Linked DNA regions of Xenopus tropicalis. The main gene of each other region encodes a partner of the protein of the gene in region 2 in a complex. Links are inferred from orthologs where the notes say so. Each region holds a gene or a part of one and is shown on either strand. Other genes may lie near its edges.

The links. The genes of interacting proteins can lie anywhere in the genome.
Region 1: trmt112 (region 2) and thumpd2 share a complex: the UniProt entries of both Homo sapiens proteins name them as parts of the heterodimeric THUMPD2-TRM112 methyltransferase complex. The link is inferred for Xenopus tropicalis from reciprocal best matches to the Homo sapiens genes TRMT112 and THUMPD2.

What each region holds. Positions count from the first base shown.
Region 1 is NC_030681.2:42,409,204-42,418,370, forward strand, and holds the end of thumpd2 (THUMP domain-containing protein 2), read left to right. Parts: intron 1-277; coding exon 278-330; intron 331-1,201; coding exon 1,202-1,289; intron 1,290-2,460; coding exon 2,461-2,532; intron 2,533-3,632; coding exon 3,633-3,747; intron 3,748-4,825; coding exon 4,826-4,946; intron 4,947-7,141; coding exon 7,142-7,430; 3' UTR 7,431-7,586; downstream 7,587-9,167. UniProt on the Homo sapiens protein: Catalytic subunit of the THUMPD2-TRM112 methyltransferase complex, that specifically mediates the S-adenosyl-L-methionine-dependent N(2)-methylation of guanosine nucleotides, most probably at position 72 (m2G72), in the U6snRNA of the major spliceosome.
Region 2 is NC_030680.2:35,170,965-35,181,965, reverse strand, and holds trmt112 (multifunctional methyltransferase subunit TRM112-like protein), read right to left. Parts: upstream 7,310-11,001; 5' UTR 7,281-7,309; coding exon 7,206-7,280; intron 6,005-7,205; coding exon 5,903-6,004; intron 4,599-5,902; coding exon 4,506-4,598; intron 3,369-4,505; coding exon 3,267-3,368; 3' UTR 3,185-3,266; downstream 1-3,184. Other genes in the region: esrra (steroid hormone receptor ERR1), read left to right, coding at 311-580, 1,649-1,896. UniProt on the Homo sapiens protein: Acts as an activator of both rRNA/tRNA and protein methyltransferases. Together with methyltransferase BUD23, methylates the N(7) position of a guanine in 18S rRNA.

The sequences.
Region 1 (9,167 bases), on a different chromosome or scaffold from region 2:
CTATTTTGTTCTTAACAGCTGTTAGTCAGCCACTTGGGAGCCATATGGTATATAACTGTTATTTTGCTTTTGATCCTGAGCACATTTTTTATTTTATACAATCTACTCAAATTTTGTGGATTTTTTTTTCTTCTGGTAATTGACCAACTGTCCCAATCACTGATTTAAAGTCACAAGCCAACCCTTGCATATAAGTCCCTTGAGTCCAGACACTTAAACATGTTGCCATGCTATTGTGCAGCACTTCATAACAGTTACGTTCTGGTTTTTCACCTAGGTTTTTGTACATTTGAATGATCTGTATTCTGTGGTTGGGTTTCCAATCTCCAGGTAACTGTTTTCTTCTTATACCACACCTATCTTTCAACAGTATCACATATGGTCCTAACTTTGTCTTCCTTTTGTGTTATTCTAGTGATCAATTTGTAAAACTGCAGACACCCTACAGTGTTGTGTATTTTGTAGATTTTCATGCCTTCTTGATATTTTTGTAAATCCACACATATTGCACTACATCCCTAGGATCCCTCAGTTTTCAACATTAATTCTTCATAGCCTGACTGAACAACACCATACTACGCTACTGCAGAATTTTTCAATAATGTAAATATTATAAGAAAAGTAATAAAACAGCCCATATTGATGGTGTTGTTTTGTAAAAAAAAAAAAAAACAAAAAACACAATACTTTCATTCCAGTCGTTGGTAAACCTGGTAATATTGGATAAAATTTTCTAGGTCAGAGATTCTAAACCTATGGGTTAGGACCCCAGTGCTGTTCAGCATGGGCCTTTATAATCTCCTTAATAATGTGACATATTTTTCTGCAATAAAAAATTGTAATTCAGATGCATAACTGGTTCAAAACCAAATTTTGGGTTTCAGATTCAGTTGAAAAGAATACTTCAGATGTTATACAGGCTGATTTTTTTTTTTTTACAATAGAATCCATATAAATAATAAATAATAAAGTGTTAATAAATAATAATAAAGTGTTAAACCATATTACTATCCTAGTGTTAGTGACTAGGTCAATAACGCTCACAGATGGGGTTCCTCTGTGTATGTCAGTGTATCATGGGTAATCAGCTGTCATATTGTGTAAGCAGCTGTCATGTTGTGGCCTTTGACTTAATTTGACTTTATCACAGAGACAAGGCTATGTAAGTAAATCAAGATATGTTTCCTTTTATGGTTTGCAGGCAACCTTTGGCAAAAAGAGACTATATAAGAAATACAGGCCTAAGATCTACTACAGCTTGGGCTATGGGCACACTTGCTGAACTACATGTAAGTTGCTCCATATTCCCCTTTTTTAGTATTATTGTTAGATTTTGTAGTCAGACTGGGAGCAGCAAGAAATAAATGCCTATATTAAATCTGATTTATATGTGTAGCCTGTATATTTACTGTGTTAATAACAATAAAGACATTTTTTTGTAAATCTGCATAAAAAAATAAATAAAAGTATTTCACCAGCAGTGAAATTTGTGAGGGCAGAAGGGCATTATAGTAATACTAAAGTTAATACAGTCATAGTGTTTGGGGAATAATATTTGTATTGAGTTAAAGAATCAAAACCAAAATTGTTGCAATACAGTACCATGGCACACTGTGATATCACTAATGTATTTTAAACACTAATGTATTTTATGTTTCTGTTGTTCAGTTTGACTTAAAGGAGAAGGAAAGGTAAAAAGTAAGTAAGTAAGCTTTATCAGAAAGGTCTATGTAAATACAGCCATAAGCACTCACAGAAATGCTGCATTGAGTCCTCTGTCTAAAAAAACACATATGTACACATGTTATTCTGTGTCAGACTTCCTGCTCTCAGAAAAATTCTTCCAGGCAGGGGCAGGAGTCTGCTCAGTTTGCTCCTCCCTTCTCCTCCCCCCATCAGAATTCACTCCCCCTCCCATAAGAATTTGCTCCCTCCTCCCAACTTGTGTAATCTGAGCTACCAGCAGTCAGATCTGCAGCACTGAAGCTACTGAGACCAAGGTAAAATGGCAGCTGCTATCTTAAACAAACAGAGGGAGCTTTTAGGGCTGTTTACTCGGGTATGGTAAAGCTTTCAGCAGAATAAATATTGCGTTCTAGCTTGCACTAATGTGGCAAATCTGTTGGCAGTAAAATGCCTAAAATCCTTTTCCTTCTCCTTTAAACAATCTTAGTCCCTTCTCAGTATTGTTTTACATTTTTTATATGTACCCAGAGTTCTGTTTTCAGGATTTGTTAATCCATAATAGATACTAGAGGCAAAGTCAGTATGATAATTCTAGTACAAAGAAGCACACAGGGCACCTTTGGTGCAAATGCCATTTATGAATGAGCTCTGTATGTGCATAAATCCATTCCAATATACTTTTAAATAAGCCTTTCTGTCTCTAATACAGTAAGTCTTCCTCTGTACCCATCAGCAAGAATATTTTAGCATTTAATGTTCCTGTTTTATTTGTAGGTAGGAGCACTTGTTCTGGATCCTATGTGTGGTGTGGGAACAATATTGTTGGAGGCTGCAAAAGAATGGCCTGTAAGTATGCAGCAAGTGTTGGAATTTGACTGATGTTTTTAACTCAATTGAACATCTGTTCTTACAAGCTTTAGTAAACATTTATAAAAGAGAAAAAAACTGAAATGAATTCAGGCTTTACTATAAAGTTTCTTAATACACCTGTCTGCAAATCTTAATTTTAAAAATTTCAATGCAATTCCATAGGGATAAAGGGGTAACCAGTTATATTTTAATTAATCTGTATTAGACCAGAGATAATGAATGCCACATTTTGGAGTTCCTTTCAGCATTTGCAGTTATATTGCAAAATGTGAACTGGCACTTGTGACACCCTGTGGTCTGGTACTGTGACCTACTCTGTGGTCAGGAAAAATCAGCATGAAGCAAAAATCGCAACACTATAAAATAGAAGGCAGTACACTTTTTCAATGCAAAAAGAAGATGCAAAAAGTCCCCTGTCTGCCTCCCTAAGGCCAGTTTCACATGTGGCCTGGGTGCAGACACACAGAGCGGATTGCAGTGCCAAAATGAATAAGTGAGACTTTATACGCCAAAATCATTTCCTTGTGCCTGCCCCCCAGCCAGTGCAGTGACTTCGGGTACAGGCACATTAGAAAGCAGTAGCGTAGGGGCAGATTCTTGGCCTCCATTTTTACGCAGGCCGAGATTTCGCTATGTGTGACACTAGCCAAATGGATTACAGTTGGGTCTGACTTTTATTATACAGGAGTAACAGGAGTTAGGTCTCTTCCAGGTCTTTCAATCAACTGCCTTGTTTCAGGAGTCAGATAATGTAGACAGACTGACACTGCTTTCAGCTTAAATTGCATTTACAAACAACTTTAAAACCACTGGCATTTTTTAACAAATGCATATTGGGATGTTGCTAAGAATTGTTTTCACTATACAAAATGCAGTTTTTGGGTGGAGGACCTCTTTCATTTTCCCTAGAATTATACTAATTAAGGACACAACAATATCATATTTATAGTATGGATGACATACCTGTCACATAATGATTCCATGTATTCTTTTACACGTTTTGTAACATTGCTACAGTGTAGTTTTATTTTTGTTTGTATGTATTAATGACAACTGCATATTTTTTTTTCTTGCAGTTTGGTCACTTCCTGGGTGTTGATAATAATGATTTACAGCTCGAAAGTGCAGTTTCCAATGTAAAGGGGGCTGGTCTTGATGGCGCTATAGAGTTACTCAAAGGTTCCGTTCTAGGTAAAATTTAAAGGGATAGTGTCATGATTTTTATAGTATACTTTTTATTTCTAAATTACACTGTTTACATAGCAAATAATTCACTCTACCATTTAAAGTTTTATTCCTGAAGCAACAAATGTATTTTTTTAGTTGTAATATTGGTGTGTAGGCAGCCGTCTCAGTACATTGTGCCGGATTCTGAGCTTTCACAAGGAGCCAGCGCTACACATTAGAACTGCTTTCAGATAACCTATTGTTTCTCCTACTCCCATGGAACCGGAGGAGTCCCAGGCCGGACTTGGATTTCTTACTATTGAGTACTATTCTGATATCTACTGGAAGCTGCTATCTTGCTACCTTCCCATTGTTCTGCTGATCACCTGCAAAGGGGGAAAGGGAGGGGGTGATATGACTCTAACTTGCAGCTCAGCAGTAACATGTGTCTGACGTTTATCAGAGCGCTGCGGAATATGTTGGCACTTTATAAATAAATGTTAATAATAATAATCTGGGACTTCCAAGAATGAAAATACTTTAGTGCGCATAGTTCTTATTCCTGTATTTTATTTATTTCTTTTAATGGCAATTAAAATACTTAGGGCTGTGGCTCATGAGAGTCTCAACACTACAATGTGAAACAATCTAACTGGATTTTCCCAGTAACACTGTGCTGAAGTTTTCTACTATACATATCATTCTGACTTTTTGCCATTCAGCCCACTAGCCGGATGTATTTGTATGTAAGGCTGAGCCAATTCTACCTTACAGATAAGACATCATTCACATCAATTCCAGCACCAGTGGAGCTTCCCATTATATTTACACAAACTGAGGTCAGTTTTATCATGATCAAATTAACCTGCGTGTAAGGTTTTGGAGTGTGAGAGGATACCAGTGTCCTGGAGGAAACCTACACAGAGATAGGTCAAACATAAAATCTTTAGAGAAATAAACAAAAATTTAAATAAATATCCAACTTTTAATATATGAGAAAGGGAAATCCATATGGAATAAAAGTAAGGGTATACTGGTCTTTTAAGAATGGTCTATTATAAAGTGTATTTTAAATAATTAGCAATTCCTCTGTATCTTGTAGATCTGCCATTTGTCTCTGAAAGTATGGATGCAGTGATTTGCGATATTCCCTTTGGAAGAAAGTTCACGTCCTCGAAAAATATGAAAGATCTTCTTCCAGATATCATTCGAGAAATGCAAAGGTATTTTATTCCTATGGTTTTTGTAAACCAGACACATTATGAATATGGTTTGATGAGGCTGTGATATACACACCACCCATTATCTGAGGTGGCTAAAAGGGTGGGTTCTAGGTTACTTGGCTTGCAGTAGTTTATTTGTAATATAGGTTACTGTAAAGGAGACATATTGGATAAATGGAAAAAAACCCTAATTTTGTAGGCAATTATGAATAATATACGGTGCTGGTTTCACTTTGGGCTAAACATTAATCCTATCTGTGAAAATGGCCCCTTTATTGGAGCTCCTTATAGATCCTATCAGTTCTCTGTCTGTGTTTCAAATGACGGGTGGGCGTGTCCTAACAGTCCCTGCCAGAAGCACAGCAGGAGGGGGATATTTTTATGGTGTAGTTTTTTTTTTTACTAAATTACACTGTGTACATTGCAAATTATTCATTGTACCATTTAAAATTTTATTCTTGAACCAATAAATGTATTTTTTTTAGTTGTAATATTGGTGTGTAGGCAGCCATCTCAGATTATGGTGATGATCCCGTGCTTTCAAAAAGAGCCATCACTTCACAATAGAACTGTTTTTTTCCTACTCGGTGGAACTGGACGAGTCATGTCCAGACTTGGGTTTTCACTGTTGAGTGCTATTCTCATGTTTATCATGGATCATGGGAGCATTTTAGCAATGCAGGTGGCAGGGAGCTGTTGATGTTACATTCCCATTGTTCTGCTGATCTGCTGCTGTTGTGGGGAAGGGAGTGTTTGCATATTTCACACTGCAAATTTCAAAAATAAATTTAAAAAAAAAAAAAAATCTGCGCCTTTGAAAAAAAGGGTTTTAATGCAGGATTCTGCTGCAGGGGCAGTGCTTTTAACTGATGCATTAGGAAAAAAACTAAGTAAATTCAAGGGGGAGATTAGCTAACGTAGGTAAAAAGAAATGACATTTGTTTCACCTTTTACTTCTGCTGGGGATTATATTTGATTATTAGTTTAGAAACAATTTTGTTGAACTCGGAAATAGAAATTTGTTATTTGTGACATGACACTCATTTTATCCATAGTTCCTTCCCTTGGCTGTCTGTGTGCTGAATTCAGCCTGCCTGTGACTATAAAATGATTCTGAGAATCTTAGCTTTGCAACAGCTGGAAGTCTGCAGGTTTACTTTCCTTGTCTGAGCTTCAGATGGAAAGGCAAGCTCACAGCAAGCAGCATTTTTCAATTATCGTGCAGGCGGCTCCATCTGTTGATCACTGCACTGGCCTTGATTCCCTGGGGAAGCACAGCTGCTTTAGGTGTAAAGGAATTACAGGAACCATGGCAGTTTTCACACAGTTTTATTAGACACACACTATATGAAAGGGCAGTGTATTTAAGAGTATGTGTGTCTCTGTACAATCCCCATTAATAAGACCCCAGCAACCAGATAGCTGCTGAAGTACAAAACCAGAGAGCTGCCATATATAAAGCTAAATAACTGAAAAACCACAGAAAACAAAAAATGAAGACCAATTGCAAATTGTCTCAGAATATCGCTGTCTACATCATAAAAGTTAATGGTGAACCACCCCCTTAAAACACCCACAAAAGCATTTGCTTGACTTGTCATTTCCAGTGCTCACTGTCAAAATGATGTCTGTGCACAATCCTTTAGGCACAAGTATGGGCTGCTGTGGGAACCCTGGAGCTGCTGACTTCTTCAGAGGTGGCGGTAGCTCCAGGGTTCATCTGCATTCATTTAGTGACAGGAGGTGGAAAGGACCGAGCGCAACTATATGGACATGCAAGGTTTGCCTTTTGATGCAAGTACAGGTATGGGACCCATTATCTTTCTATAATTGGAATCTCCATACTTTTTTGTATTTACTTAAACATTAAATAAACCCAGTAGGACTGTTTTGCCTCCAATAAGGATTTATTAAATCTTATTACAAGGTACTGTTTTATTAACACAGAGAAAAAGAATATAAGTATTTTAATTATTTGATTAAAATAAAGTCTAAGACAGATGACCTTCCCATAATTTGGAACTTTCTGGATGATGGATTTCTAAATAATGTATCCCATACCTGTACCTTTAATTATTTTGCACAACGACTGGTAAAATTTGTGCATTTTTACTCGTAAATGACCCATTCAGATTCCTGCTGTGTCAGCATGAATGCATTTTGAAAATTATAAATCCAAATATTATGTATTGCAGAGTTGTGCGTGTAGGAGGGGCAATTGTGTTACTGCTCAGCCAGTGTCTTCATCATCACCTGAAAGTCAACTTTCACTTCGGTGCTACTGACAATAAAAACATCACTCACAGTGGTAACAATTCCGTTTCTGAGGAGAATGGGGATAAAGAAGCTAATAAAAGAGATATTCTCAGCAGAACTCATTGGTTTGATTCTTTGATTGCACTTGAGTCACATTCCGTAAGCCTTGGAGTAACTGAAGCTGTGATATTCAAATGTAAAAAAGCCCCTCCCTCTTTGTCCTTGTAACCCATTTGTGAAATCAAAGACTGATTTTTTCATGGACACTGTTTGCTTAGTCAACAATATATATTTTTTATAACCTATGTGCTAGGTAGACTTTTTAAGTCTCTTATCTAAGTTATTTAATTGTGGCTTGGAATGCAATAAATTCTTTATTTTTAATACTGGCAGTTTTATTCTACATTACACAGGTATAAAGACTTCTAAAAAAACAGACATATTAATATATAACATACCGTATATAAATTATAATATATAACTAATAAATACGACTGTGCAAATACCACAGACACTTACAGAGTAGGTATAAACAGCCTGATTAACTAACTGACACATCAAAGTTGTGGCCTAAAGCAGCGCTAACACTTTCTACATAGTGGGTTAAATAACTAATATTTGACATGTATTTAGGCCACGCTAATAGAATACAGCACTAACGTATCATCTCTTTTATGCTTTACAAATCACATATTGCTAGAATTTCGTTTTTGCTAAAAATATTGCTATTACTGGAGAAGCAAACTATATCTACTTGTGAATACTCTTCTTATACAGGAAGATCCTACAGGGGCAGTTCAGCTTCACATTAAGATGACTACTTTTCAGCCAGTTTCTATTCTTTATTTTTAATCAGTTTGTAATGATTCCCTTCCTCTTTGCACTTTTTCCCCCCCAAATAAAATCCGGGTTCTCCCTCTACACAAAATCACAGGTCTGTGATATACATGCAAAATCGCATTCACCCGTGGGGCTCTCTGTGTAGAGGAGGTGCGTATTCCATCCACCAACACAGTGGAAACATTAAACATGCCTTATTATTTGTCACTGGGCAATACTGTAAAGGGGATTGACATGAACATGTAACCAAGCACATAGCCATTAGTCCTCTGTCGGCATGCCCATGCTATTTTTTTACATTTCTAAGCACTAAGTGGCCCATTTTCTAACGTTTGTATTTTTTTTCATGATTTTTGGGAAAAAAATTACAATTTTGCACCATTCATTATGCCTCATAACCAGGAAAAAGGTCAATGAGTTGTCTTTGGCTAAATGTAACAATCCTTATTTGTGGTTTTAGGATTTTTTTTTGAGTTTTTTTAAATTGTAAATCCACAAAGATTTGGAGGAAAACGTAATTAGCCCAAGACAACTCATTCGTTTTCCTCCGAATCTTTGTGGATTTACAATTTAAAAAAAAACTCAAAAAAAATCCTAAAACCACAAATAAGGATTGCTACATTTAGCCCAAGACAACTCATTGACCTTTTTCCTGGATATGAGGCATAATGAATGGTGCAAAATTTAAATTTTTTAATGTGTTTTTGTCGTTTTTATGCCACATTTTAATTTGTTTGTTCTTTTTTAAATGTATCTTTTAATAAATGAGTAGACATTTGTGGTTTTAGTGTAAATGTGTTTAGTTGTGTTTTCAAAAACCTCTACGAAAATCAGAATGTCAATAAATCTGCCTCCCAGTGCCCAGCCTAGCCGCCCCATGCTACATACCCCCTCCCTTGACTGTCAGTGTGCATGCGCGCCTTCATCCCCGTGCTGACCATGAGGAAGGGGAGCGCAAAGCCCAGCACAAGCACTACATGCCAGGAGTCCAAGACCAGTAATAGGCCGGCAGTGGGGAAACAAGGGCAAGGAGTATGGGAGCAGAAGGGTAGTATGTGCCTAGCATCCCCCAGCATTGCACCCTAGGCACGTGGCTTTTCTGCCTACCCTAGTTCTGTTGCTTAC
Region 2 (11,001 bases):
ACTGCGGATATCGATCGACTCGTCGATCGGGCGGGTTAAAAGATGGCGCCTGAGCAAAATCTACGTTCAGGGCTGATTCGGCAGAAGGAGGTAGAATTCCTATTGTTTCTACCACCATATCTAATGATTCAGCCCTGAACGTCAGTGGAGGGTGGGAACGAACTTTGTGTGACCAATGGTGTATATGGCCACCTTAAGGCAAACTTACCCTTTAAGGTTGTTGCTGATTTTATCCCTATTTAATGTACTGGCACAAATGGTCTCCATGTAAGTAGGTCTTTCACTAAAAAATTTCTGTTCATTTTCTTAGGATTCTCCTCCCTTTCCCTCTCGGACCAGATGAGTCTCTTGCAGAGCGTCTGGATGGAGGTTTTGCTGCTCGGAGTTGTTTTCCGCTCACTTCCATATGAAGATGAGGTTGTGTTTGCTGAAGATTTTGTGCTTGATGAGGAATCTTCTCGTTCTGCCCGTCTCACTGACCTCTGCTCCTGCATCCTGCACCTCGTCAGAAAGTATCGCACCCTGCGTGTGGAAAAGGAAGAGTATGTCATGCTGAAAGCTCTAACCCTTACTAACTCAGGTGAGCCAAACTCAGTGTAGGACAGTCTACTCTTCTGATGATTCCTTTGTCCTTGTCAGAAAGCAACATTTAAAAATGTTTTCACTTTTCTGACTCATTCATTGTGCAGTGTAAACAAAAGCAATTCTGGGAATTAATTTCTCAACCCTAATACATTTGTTGGTGAATTGTGCAGTGTAGAAAGCCAGCTCAGGGGGTGTCATTTCTTGGTCAGTGCATCACAGTATTTTAGGATGATTAAACCACTGGTACTATAGTTTAATTTGCAGATAAGATGCATGCTTTACACACTGAAAGTTTCCATTATGGAATATTTTCAAGATTTTTTACATTGTTGAGGCAGTGTCTGTTGATGGGAAGTCTGAACTCATATGCACATTGCAGGAAAGGATAGTGCAATAAAAAAGCCATAATCTGTATCTCTTCCTTATGTTTTTATACTATCACTAATGCAACAACAATACACCAAGTGTAGGAATATTAGAGGCCTGTGGAAAGTCAGTTTCATGGCCAGAGACAGCATGTGATTGCTTTTTATTCTCCCTGACATTAAGTGATGTTTACTTAAAACCTCCTGTTTCAATGACATAGATTTAATATGACAAGTGAACATTTTCTGCTGAACCCCCACGGCCATCTTTCTACTGTGATCAGAAAAACAAATACCCCCATATGTAATAAAAGACACTAAATTTGCCCGGGAGCAGTAACCCATAGCAACCAACAACATGTTTGTTTTCCAGCAGGTGACCAGTAAATGCTACCTGCTATGGGTTACTGCTCTTGGGCAAACTTTTACGTGGTAGTCCCCACGTATGGTTCTTTGTAAATGAATTATAATAGAAGTGGAGATGCTCAGTCCGTAGATCCGGTACCTCACCGTAATGCTAGTACTGTAAGGATGTTCAGGCTTCTAGCAACTTCACAAAGGGATTAGACTATTAATAATCATTTATACATTAGGTCCCAATACAGTCTTCATGGAAGATTTGGAGGGCTATATAGAATGTGTATGTCATATGCAGAGCAGGAATGCAATGCGTTACATATATACCCTTCTCACCACAGATTCTGTGCACATTGAGGATCCAGATGCAGTTCTGCGGCTCCGTGATGCCCTGCAAGAAGCTCTCAGTGAATACGAATCCGGTCGTCACCCAGAGGAGCCCTGCAGGGATGGCAAGCTGCTTCTAACACTCCCACTACTGCGCCAGACAGCTGGTCGTGTCCTCCAGCATTTTCATGCGCTGCGAGAGGAGGGCGCTGTCCCCATGCACAAGCTATTTCTGGAGATGTTGGAGGCTATGATGGACTGATGTAAATCAGAGACTTTTTAGGAATATATAAACTTGCCCCAATAGTAATAAAGGGACAGTCTATTTAATGGGGTCACAAAAACCAAAACGTGCACTCTAAAGGATAAGAATGGACTGAGCAGGAGAAGAAAATCAGGGAATGTGCCTAATAGGCACTGCCCTGACAAAATATACCGAACAAAGATTTGGGCAGCATTGGTGGATGTGGCCACACAGAATGAATAGGATACAGCCATGAACAGAGTTGGCTGTATTTAGCAATAAGCCATATCAGAGTGGTTGGAGGGTAGTTATTTAATGCAGTTTATGTACATGGCCCTGAAAATTATAGCTACTAACCTCCAAACCATAACCCCCCCTTCATAAATGTTGGCACTGCTGAGTATGATATTGTTACTGTAGTTCAGGTACAACATCCCAACTTAATGTACAGGCCTTTAGTGTGACTTCATGCCAGTTTAAAGGATTTTTTAAAGTATAAATATTGTTTGCTCCTAATATATAAGACAATATATGTAAAGTTGTATTCTCTGAACCCCCTGCCCTACTTCATTGTCAAATTGTTATCCTGTGCAACCATAACCCCAGCTCATTTCTGTAAAACAAACATCAAGACTGCACTATACAACATGGTTGTAAAAACGTTATGCAATCTGACCACTAGATGTCACTACAGTAAGGTATAATCCGTGGAAACTTTATACTGCAATAAGTGCAAAGACCACCGAGTGTCACTGTACCAGGTCATAAAACAATTGCCAGAGGGTGAAATCATTGTATTATTATTATTATTTTTGTGTATAAGATAACAATCATTAGTATAATTGTGGAAAATGAAATGGGCAATAAGCCACATAAGGTATATGCCCACATTTCACAAAATAATGTTTTTTTTCTGCAGACCATTTAGCCAACAATGCACTTTTTTTCAGTAAAATTCTAATATTACTTTTAATTATCCCTTTTCCCTCTGTATTTCCACCACAATTTCCAGAGCCCAAGCCTGTGTTTATGTTTAATTAATTTAGGCATTGATTGCTGTATTCATTTTATTTCTATGATTTTATTTCTGTTCTCTGAAGCCACCATGAGCCCCACCTGTATATAAACCTATAGAATAATGTGGATATGTAATATACCTCATTGCTTATAAATATATTTAGATCCTTGTATACTGATAAGGCCCAATGGAGCCTGGACTGCAATAAACATCAGGGAGATTTCATGCTGTGTCTGTTAATTCACTATATGTGTTCTGTGCAGCACAACACACACAAGTGTACAGCAATAATCAAACAGAACATTTATTGAAACCACACACAAAATAACAGCTGGGTTATATATTTACATAAGTGGAAACATTGTGCTTATTAGGACTCTTCTTCATTAATTAACATATTGGGGATTCCTCTGGTGATAGGAAATTCTGTGCCGGATTCTGGACATTTCAATGCACCTTCAATGACCTCAACCTAGGAGACAAAAAGAATGTTATTTAGGAATATGACCAACTTTAGCCATCCCTTTACCTCCTCTTTTATGTTTATCTATTTAAAAAAAAAGTCAAAAAGTGAATTTAGCCCTCGGAAACTCTCCTGCCCTAAATATACATCATTTGGGATTTTGTTAATCATGTTTTGTTGCGGTAACAAATACCAGAAGATCCCTAGTCATTGTGGGTGCTGAGAATTGCTGCAATTAAAGAGGTTGTTCACCTTTAAGTTAACTTTTGGTAAATTATATAATGGCCTATTCCTAGCAACTTTTTTTTATTGCTCTTCATTTTTATTTCTTATAGTTTTTAAATTATTTGCCTTTTTCTACTTTTTTCAAAGCCAAAATCTATTGGTCGTTGAGGCTACAATTTTCTTGTCCTTGTTACTTTATTATTTATCTTTCTATTCTTCCCCCTCTGCTAATCATATTCCAGCCTCTCATGCAAACTACTGTCTGGTTGCTAGGCTAATTTGGACCCTGGGAACCAGTTAGGACATTTTGTAACATATTAAAATTAAACTATTTCTAGCAACATTGTAAATAGTCAAATTACTTGCCTTCCTCTTTTACATCTTTCCGGCTTTCAAATGGGGGTCATTGACCCTGGTAGCTAGAAGACTATCGCTTTGTGAGGCTACAATTTTATTATTGTTACTTTTTATTACTTATCTTTCTTTTCAGACCCCCTTTAATTCATATTCCAGTCTTTCATTCAAACTACTGCCTGGTTGCTAAGGTTATCAAGATCCTAGCAACCAGATAGCTGCTTAAATTCCAAACTGGAGAGTTGGTAAACAAAAAGCTAATTAACTGAAAAACCACAAATAATGATAAAATGAAGACAAATTGCTTCTCTTAGAATATCATTGTCTACATCATATTAAAACTTAATTTAAAGGTGAACAACCTCTTTATAATACTGGGCAAACCTTCCTTTGTATGTATTTTGACAACATTTTAGTGATTTACTGGTAGCGATTCTCAGCACAATGGCAAAGAATTTTTTTTCACTGCCCTAAAAAAGACATTTACGGTATAAAATGAAATTGGAGAGAAAATATTCTACACTACAAAATCAGTTCACATTTACTGGTGTTTGTAAGAACTATTACCTCCAATAATACGTGGTGAACTTTCTTCAAGAAATCTTCATTCTTTTCGTATCCTGTCTCCAACTCTCGGGGTAGATCTGAGCCATGCCCAAGCTATAAAGCAAATGAAACAGGAGGTGAGAGAGGCAGTAGATACATAGGTTGCATCTTTGCACTGAGTGTACAACTGGGTCCTCCTGTCATAGAAAGAGATAATGAGCATAGTACTCCTGTCTGTCACAGATATGCCATTAAAGCTGACCCAGCAGTGTGGTGTTAAAGTATGCTATAGAATAGCCAATTCTAACCAACTTTTCAATTGGTCTTTATAGTTTTTTAATTATTTGCCGCCTTCTTCTAACTCTTAGCAGTTTTCAAATGGGGGTCACCAACCCCAGCAACCACAAAACTATTGCTCTGTGAGGCTACAGGTTTATTGTTTTTGTTTATACTTAGTAAACTAAAGAGCTGCTGAGCAAAAAGTAATATAACTAAAAAACTACAGATACAAAATGAAGACTAACTGCAAATTGTCTCAGAATATTACTCTCTACATCATACTAAATGTTTACTCAAAGGTAAACAATGTATAAACACAATGTAGAGAATGTTTAATACATCTTTTTCCACAAGTGTGTTTATTTGCCTTTTTCTTAGATATAAATGGATTATAAATGCACTTCCTCAACATAACCTGCCAAAAACAACCATGCTATTGGGCAGGCTGCCATTTCTAATCACTGACCCATGCCGCAATCAGCATATGAGAGCACAAGATTTACTACATATCACAAGCGCTTAGAGATTTCTTTAATTATAATAATGGTCTAACCGCTGCACTTAAAAAAAATGAAAAGCTACCATATAACGTAACTCCCCCTGCCTGTGGGGGTGCAGCTTTAAGCAGAACCAAGACAAGTAGTATTGCTGCTGCACCCCCACCTGATCTATCCACAGGCTGCAACACACAACTAACCCCCACACCCAACCCACTTCCCCTGCTCAGTTTGGAGAGGCTCTCTGACACTTGTTCCTTCTGCTCCTTTCTGTTTGATCCTGCCCTTTGCCATTTGCTCCTCCTTAAATTGCACCCAGACAGGTGCTGCTTACCTCCTTGTTCCAGCCATTTCCTTCTGTATTGTCTATTCCCTTCCAGTGAAAATTTTCACTTTGATGAAAGAGTATCTTTGCCGCTAATGCCTTTACAACATAATCACTTGCAAGTATGCAATGTGCTTGCAGTTATTACACAAAAATGTGGGTGTGAAAGCTTTAATGAAATAATCACGCAGAAGCAATTTGCAGCAATTCATGGGGTTTTGCTGCTGCAACGTTGCTGCATTAGAAAATCACCATGTGTGACATTGCCCTTAGATCAACTAAGTGGAAAACACAGTCCCACAAAGGTTTGTACTCACACTCTCTGCGGCTTCCACAAGAGCGCCCCACTCCAGTTTAGGAATCATACGAGTCACAAAATCCTGATTGAAATCAACAGCACTAAGCTTGACCTCCTCTGCCTGTGGGAAAAAAAGACATTCTCATTAAATGGTAACATCTGAGTCAACTATTTGTGGTCTTTGTCATGTTAGCTTGTGCCACGTGTGCAGCCAGCCACCAGTTTTATTTATTTTGCCAGTCACTGTGCATTATTTATCACACATATATATTACCCTTTCTGCATTACCCAGTGGCTGGGGTGCCACCTCGTCCATCATGTTATGCTTGGGGGGCAGGTCACTGCCATGATTCTAAATATTTGCCTAACCTGTGAGTACACTGACAGGGTCCAGACAATTAGCATTAAAGTCAATGTAGGAGTGGCTGCCAGAGGTGAGCCCAACCCAGAGCCAAATAATGCACAGGCATTACCCTTTTCCTTATGGACCCAGATGAAATATGGCTGACAGCCTTGTAACCTTTGGAATTCAATTCCTAACCCAGTGCACACTATATGGACAAAAGTGCCTATCCAACATTTCATTCCTAAACCAACGGTATTAATATAAAGTTGGTCTTCACTGCTGCTTTACCTGCCTCTACTCTTCTGGGAAGGATTTCCACTAACTGCTAATACAGTGTTGGTAAGATTGCTTCCATCCAGGCACAGGGGCATGATGAGGTTGGTACTGATGCTGTGGATCAGGAATGATAATATAGATATGGGTTACAGTCAGCATTTCAATTTATCCCCCTGGTGCTCAGTTGGGATGAGGTCAGGACTCTGTATGAATGTTGCTTTGTGCCCAGGGGACATTATAATCGTGCGACAGGAAAGGGTCTCCCCGCAATCCCTTGCCACAAAGTAGGAAGCATTTAATTGTCACAAAGGTCATTGTGTGCTTTAGCCTTACGCTTTGATTTCAGCGGCACCAATGACCCTGCCAAACCCATTATTCCTTCTCCTTGGTGCCACTGTTACTAACAATAACTCAGATAGGAACAGCCGTAGTTTTTAATAAACGATGTAACCTACAAGGAGAGAGCACCCCAGTCTGTATTCCTTCATTAAACCAATACCACGGACTGATGAAGCAGATGACTGGCCCCAACATTGCTTTATTCTGTTTTATTATAAAGGGGATACAACGCCAGGGCTGTATCTACTACAGTTACTGCTACACAAATCCCATTTTGGCTGTACAACAGGGGTAGAGCCAATGAATACTAGTAAATGAAATATCAGTAAGTGACATGCAATGCACAAAGCGCAACAAATACCCGGATGAGTAGCGGGAAGCCCCGGGTCACCCCGGAAACGTGGCTTCGCAACATATTATGCGTCAGTAGCTTCATGGTCTTCGGTACCGCTAACCCACGTGTAACCCTCCGCAGCTCCTTCCTGGAATTCTACCTCAGTCCCCACCAACCAATGCCCTTATTCCGAAAAGCACCGCCCACTGTTCCCAGCTACCCCTAGCGACAGACTAACAGAACACCTCCCACCAATCGCTCCTAGGGAGCCGCCATATTCGCTGTGATTGCGCATGTACGCGGTAACGTCATTACGCTGGCGCTAGTGGGAGGAGCGATACTTGTAAACAAACATGGCTCCTTTTATATCGTGAAACATAAAAAACGGGAGACATAGATTTCAGTAATAAAATTGTGCTAAAGCGTTTCGTTTTGTTCTTTAACTTTTGTATTACGAGGTAAATGTTCTCTTTATTAACAATGATGTGTTCAAACCAATAACTACGGGTTGTTATAGATGATAGAAGAATTAGAGATTTGATTTTTTATATTATATTTCTGGATTTGTGTGATAGCTGCTTATTTAGAAATACAGCCTTGACACCCTGGTCATTATACAGCTAGCTTAGGTACTTAGGTACTGAAATGATGCTGTCCTGCAAGGGGCTTAAATCATAGGAAATGGCAGTATGACAGCCCAATTCACAAGCCACATTGGCTCACTTCATGATTTGCACTGATCCTGAATTTAGAAAAATAGATATTAATACTTTTAAAACATAGTCACACAATTGGATAATCACTAATAAGTGTATATCAAACCATACTGACTAAAAAAGCGATCTAAGTAAATAAAAGAGTGATCTAAGTAAACGTATGCTTCGATTGAACAAAAAAATGATCTCTTAAATATAGTTAATATTAAATTGCCATGTTTATCTTCCAAATGTGAAGGTGCACAAAAATGAATCCATTTGTGTTCACATGTTAAATATAAGTTGCTTTTCCTTATTACACATATTGTAATTCTGTGTATTTATAATAGCGAGATCCTGGCATTGTCACAAATTATTCATTTATATGTTACCCATGTAGGAGTAGCCCACAAGCTCAGTAAAACAAATGAAAGGCCATAGAATATTGGTGGGGAAGGGGGGTGGGGCTTGTGGTTAATCTTTATAAAAGCATTATTAAAATTACACCCAAGTTCATCCAAGAGTCACTAGTTATAAATATTGAATACAAATTTGAAAACCCTTATAAAAATAATATAACACACAATTTTTGTCATACAGTTCAAGAGCAACCCAAATGCTAATAGGCCAAAAACGCCTAAATGTCCTTAAGAATTTTAAGGGAATTTTGGTGACCATTTGTGGCGGCTCTTTGATTTAGCAAAATCCAGTTTTAAGGGGCAGTTAAAGCAGGGTGCAATTAGAACATGCAAGAGAGAGAGAGAGATTAAAAGCTTCAGCTTAGGATATGTGTGTGGTTCATCTGAACAAGATTTATTATTGCATGTTTGTACTAAAAAGGAAAAAGTGTCAGTAGGCGAAAGAATGATTAAAGATTTGATTATTACATCTTTAGCTTTGTATTTAACAAGTACAAAACCTGAAGAACCCAGTGGTGTAAATAGCTGTGCAGCAGTTACACTCTGTCAAAATAGGCCCTGGCATTTTACGTAAACAGAGGCCCAAACAGCCCCCCCCCCCCCCCAATAGCCAACTAAATAGTGACTGTCTATGGCATCTTACAGCAACCCCTCTGGCATTTGCCAGAATCCACAGATTGCCAGTCTGGGCCTTGCCCTTGGTCTCCTTATTTAAACATTCAGACCTATGATAGACAACATTCTTTTAAAGCATTATTAATTAACCACAAACTAACCTTACTACTACTTAGTAGATGCTTATTACATACATAAATTACACCTTTTATTTAGCACCTATACAATGGAATAGAAGGAGTGTATTCCACAGAAAATGCTGATGTCTTTTGCCACTAGAATGCGGCCATGTAAGTAAAGTAATCCTTACAGCTATGTATTTCTAATGTGTGTTCTTTGTGCACAGGTCAGAACACATGCAAGCTATTGCCAAACAACTGGCTTCATATTTAGGTGGAGACAACTACCCTGAAATTATAATAAAGCCTGATACAGATGATCAGGTTGCTAAAAACAGATCTGAGCAATAACTCATTAAGAATAATTCTGCCTTTAAAAACAACGTGAGCTATACTTCCAGCTTTACAATTCATAATATTTTAAGCTAATATATTCTTCTAATATAGATCAAAACTGAAACTGTATTAGAGTGTGGGGAATATACTTTTTAAACAAAGATTGAAAGGATAATTTACTTTCAGTTGCGTGATCGAGGGGTCTATTCTGTGGTTCCACTTTGCCCCCTAGCTCCTGTTGGTGCCTGTCTGCCTCAAACAAGCAAGCACTGTTTTACTAGTTCAGTACTAGCAGTTTTGATTGGCTAAAACATGAAATCAGTCTGGATTGAGGACTCCCTTTGGTCCATTTGCCACCAGACTGCATAGGTCTGCAGTGCCACCTAGTGGTCGGTTAATCAAGCTTTAATATTTAGCCAAATTGTACAATATGTATTGTAGGACAAAAGACAAGTTTAACATGCAAAGTTTGAGCACATCCTATCTTTTTATTCACTTTTTTCACATACCTTTATTATAGTATGGTCATGAGGGGGAAACACACCCGATTCAATTGCAGATAATGCGCTTAAGAAGCATGCAACTGCACTTGCACTTGCACTTCGACTTGAATTGGACACAATGCAGAGAAAATTTTATTTGTCATGATATCATTTAACATCTGTGTACAATTCTCAGGGCACATGATGCAGGTTGCCATGGAAACTTAGAGGTGCCAACACATTTGGGGTGGCAGTAGCTTCAGGGTTACCCTGTGCTAGGTTTTGGAGATATTGCTTCCTATGGTGGAAGATATAAGAGCAAAGGTAGTAATGCCATTGGTTTATAAACTGAATCTTTGGTGCTCCTATAAGCAAAGCTGCAGACTACATTAAGTAGTTATAATATATTAAAGGGAATAAATGCAAGCATTCATTTTGGCCAGATGGTCTAATGCAATTCTAAGCAATTTTTCAGTATACATCAATTTTGAATTGTTTTAAACTTGTTTGTAAATGACAGTGTAGGGACCCATAGGGTTAAATGGTCCCTATGGCTTTAAATCCCTACAGGTTCAGTTCCCTTAGTTGCTGGGCAGAAGGGAATGTATCTAAGTGAGTTCATTAACATGTGTGTGCTATTGGTTAGAAGGTATAGTGACCACATCCTGCCTGACTTTGTTATAGTGTGGGGAGAGGAGTGGCACCTTCCTGTTTGTTTGCTGCCACCTTAGGGACAAGGTGGATGTGTGCTGAGAGCCCAGGGCGTGGGCCCAGGCCCAGTGAAGTCGGGGAACAGGGCCCCGTGAATGAGGCATTAGATAGTGGCAGGTGTAGCTCCCTTTATAGTACGCTCTAGGAGTGTAAGGCAGTTAGGGCTGAGCTAGAATGAGCAGCATTGAGCTCCTTCATAGGATTTGCAGTTTTTCTGGAGATATTTCTCCCAGGCCACATTGCCTGTAGTGTAGGGATCCAAGTGAATAGGGCTCTGGGTGTCGAAGAACAGAGGCCGAAATGAAGGCATCCTTCGGGGACTGGAAGGCTTCAAGGGCCACAGGAGGCCAACAATTGGGTCTCCCTCCTTTGCGGATGAGGGAAAGGATAGGAGAAATGCGGGAAGAAAAGCCTTTAATGAATTGGCGGTAATAGTTCGCAAATCC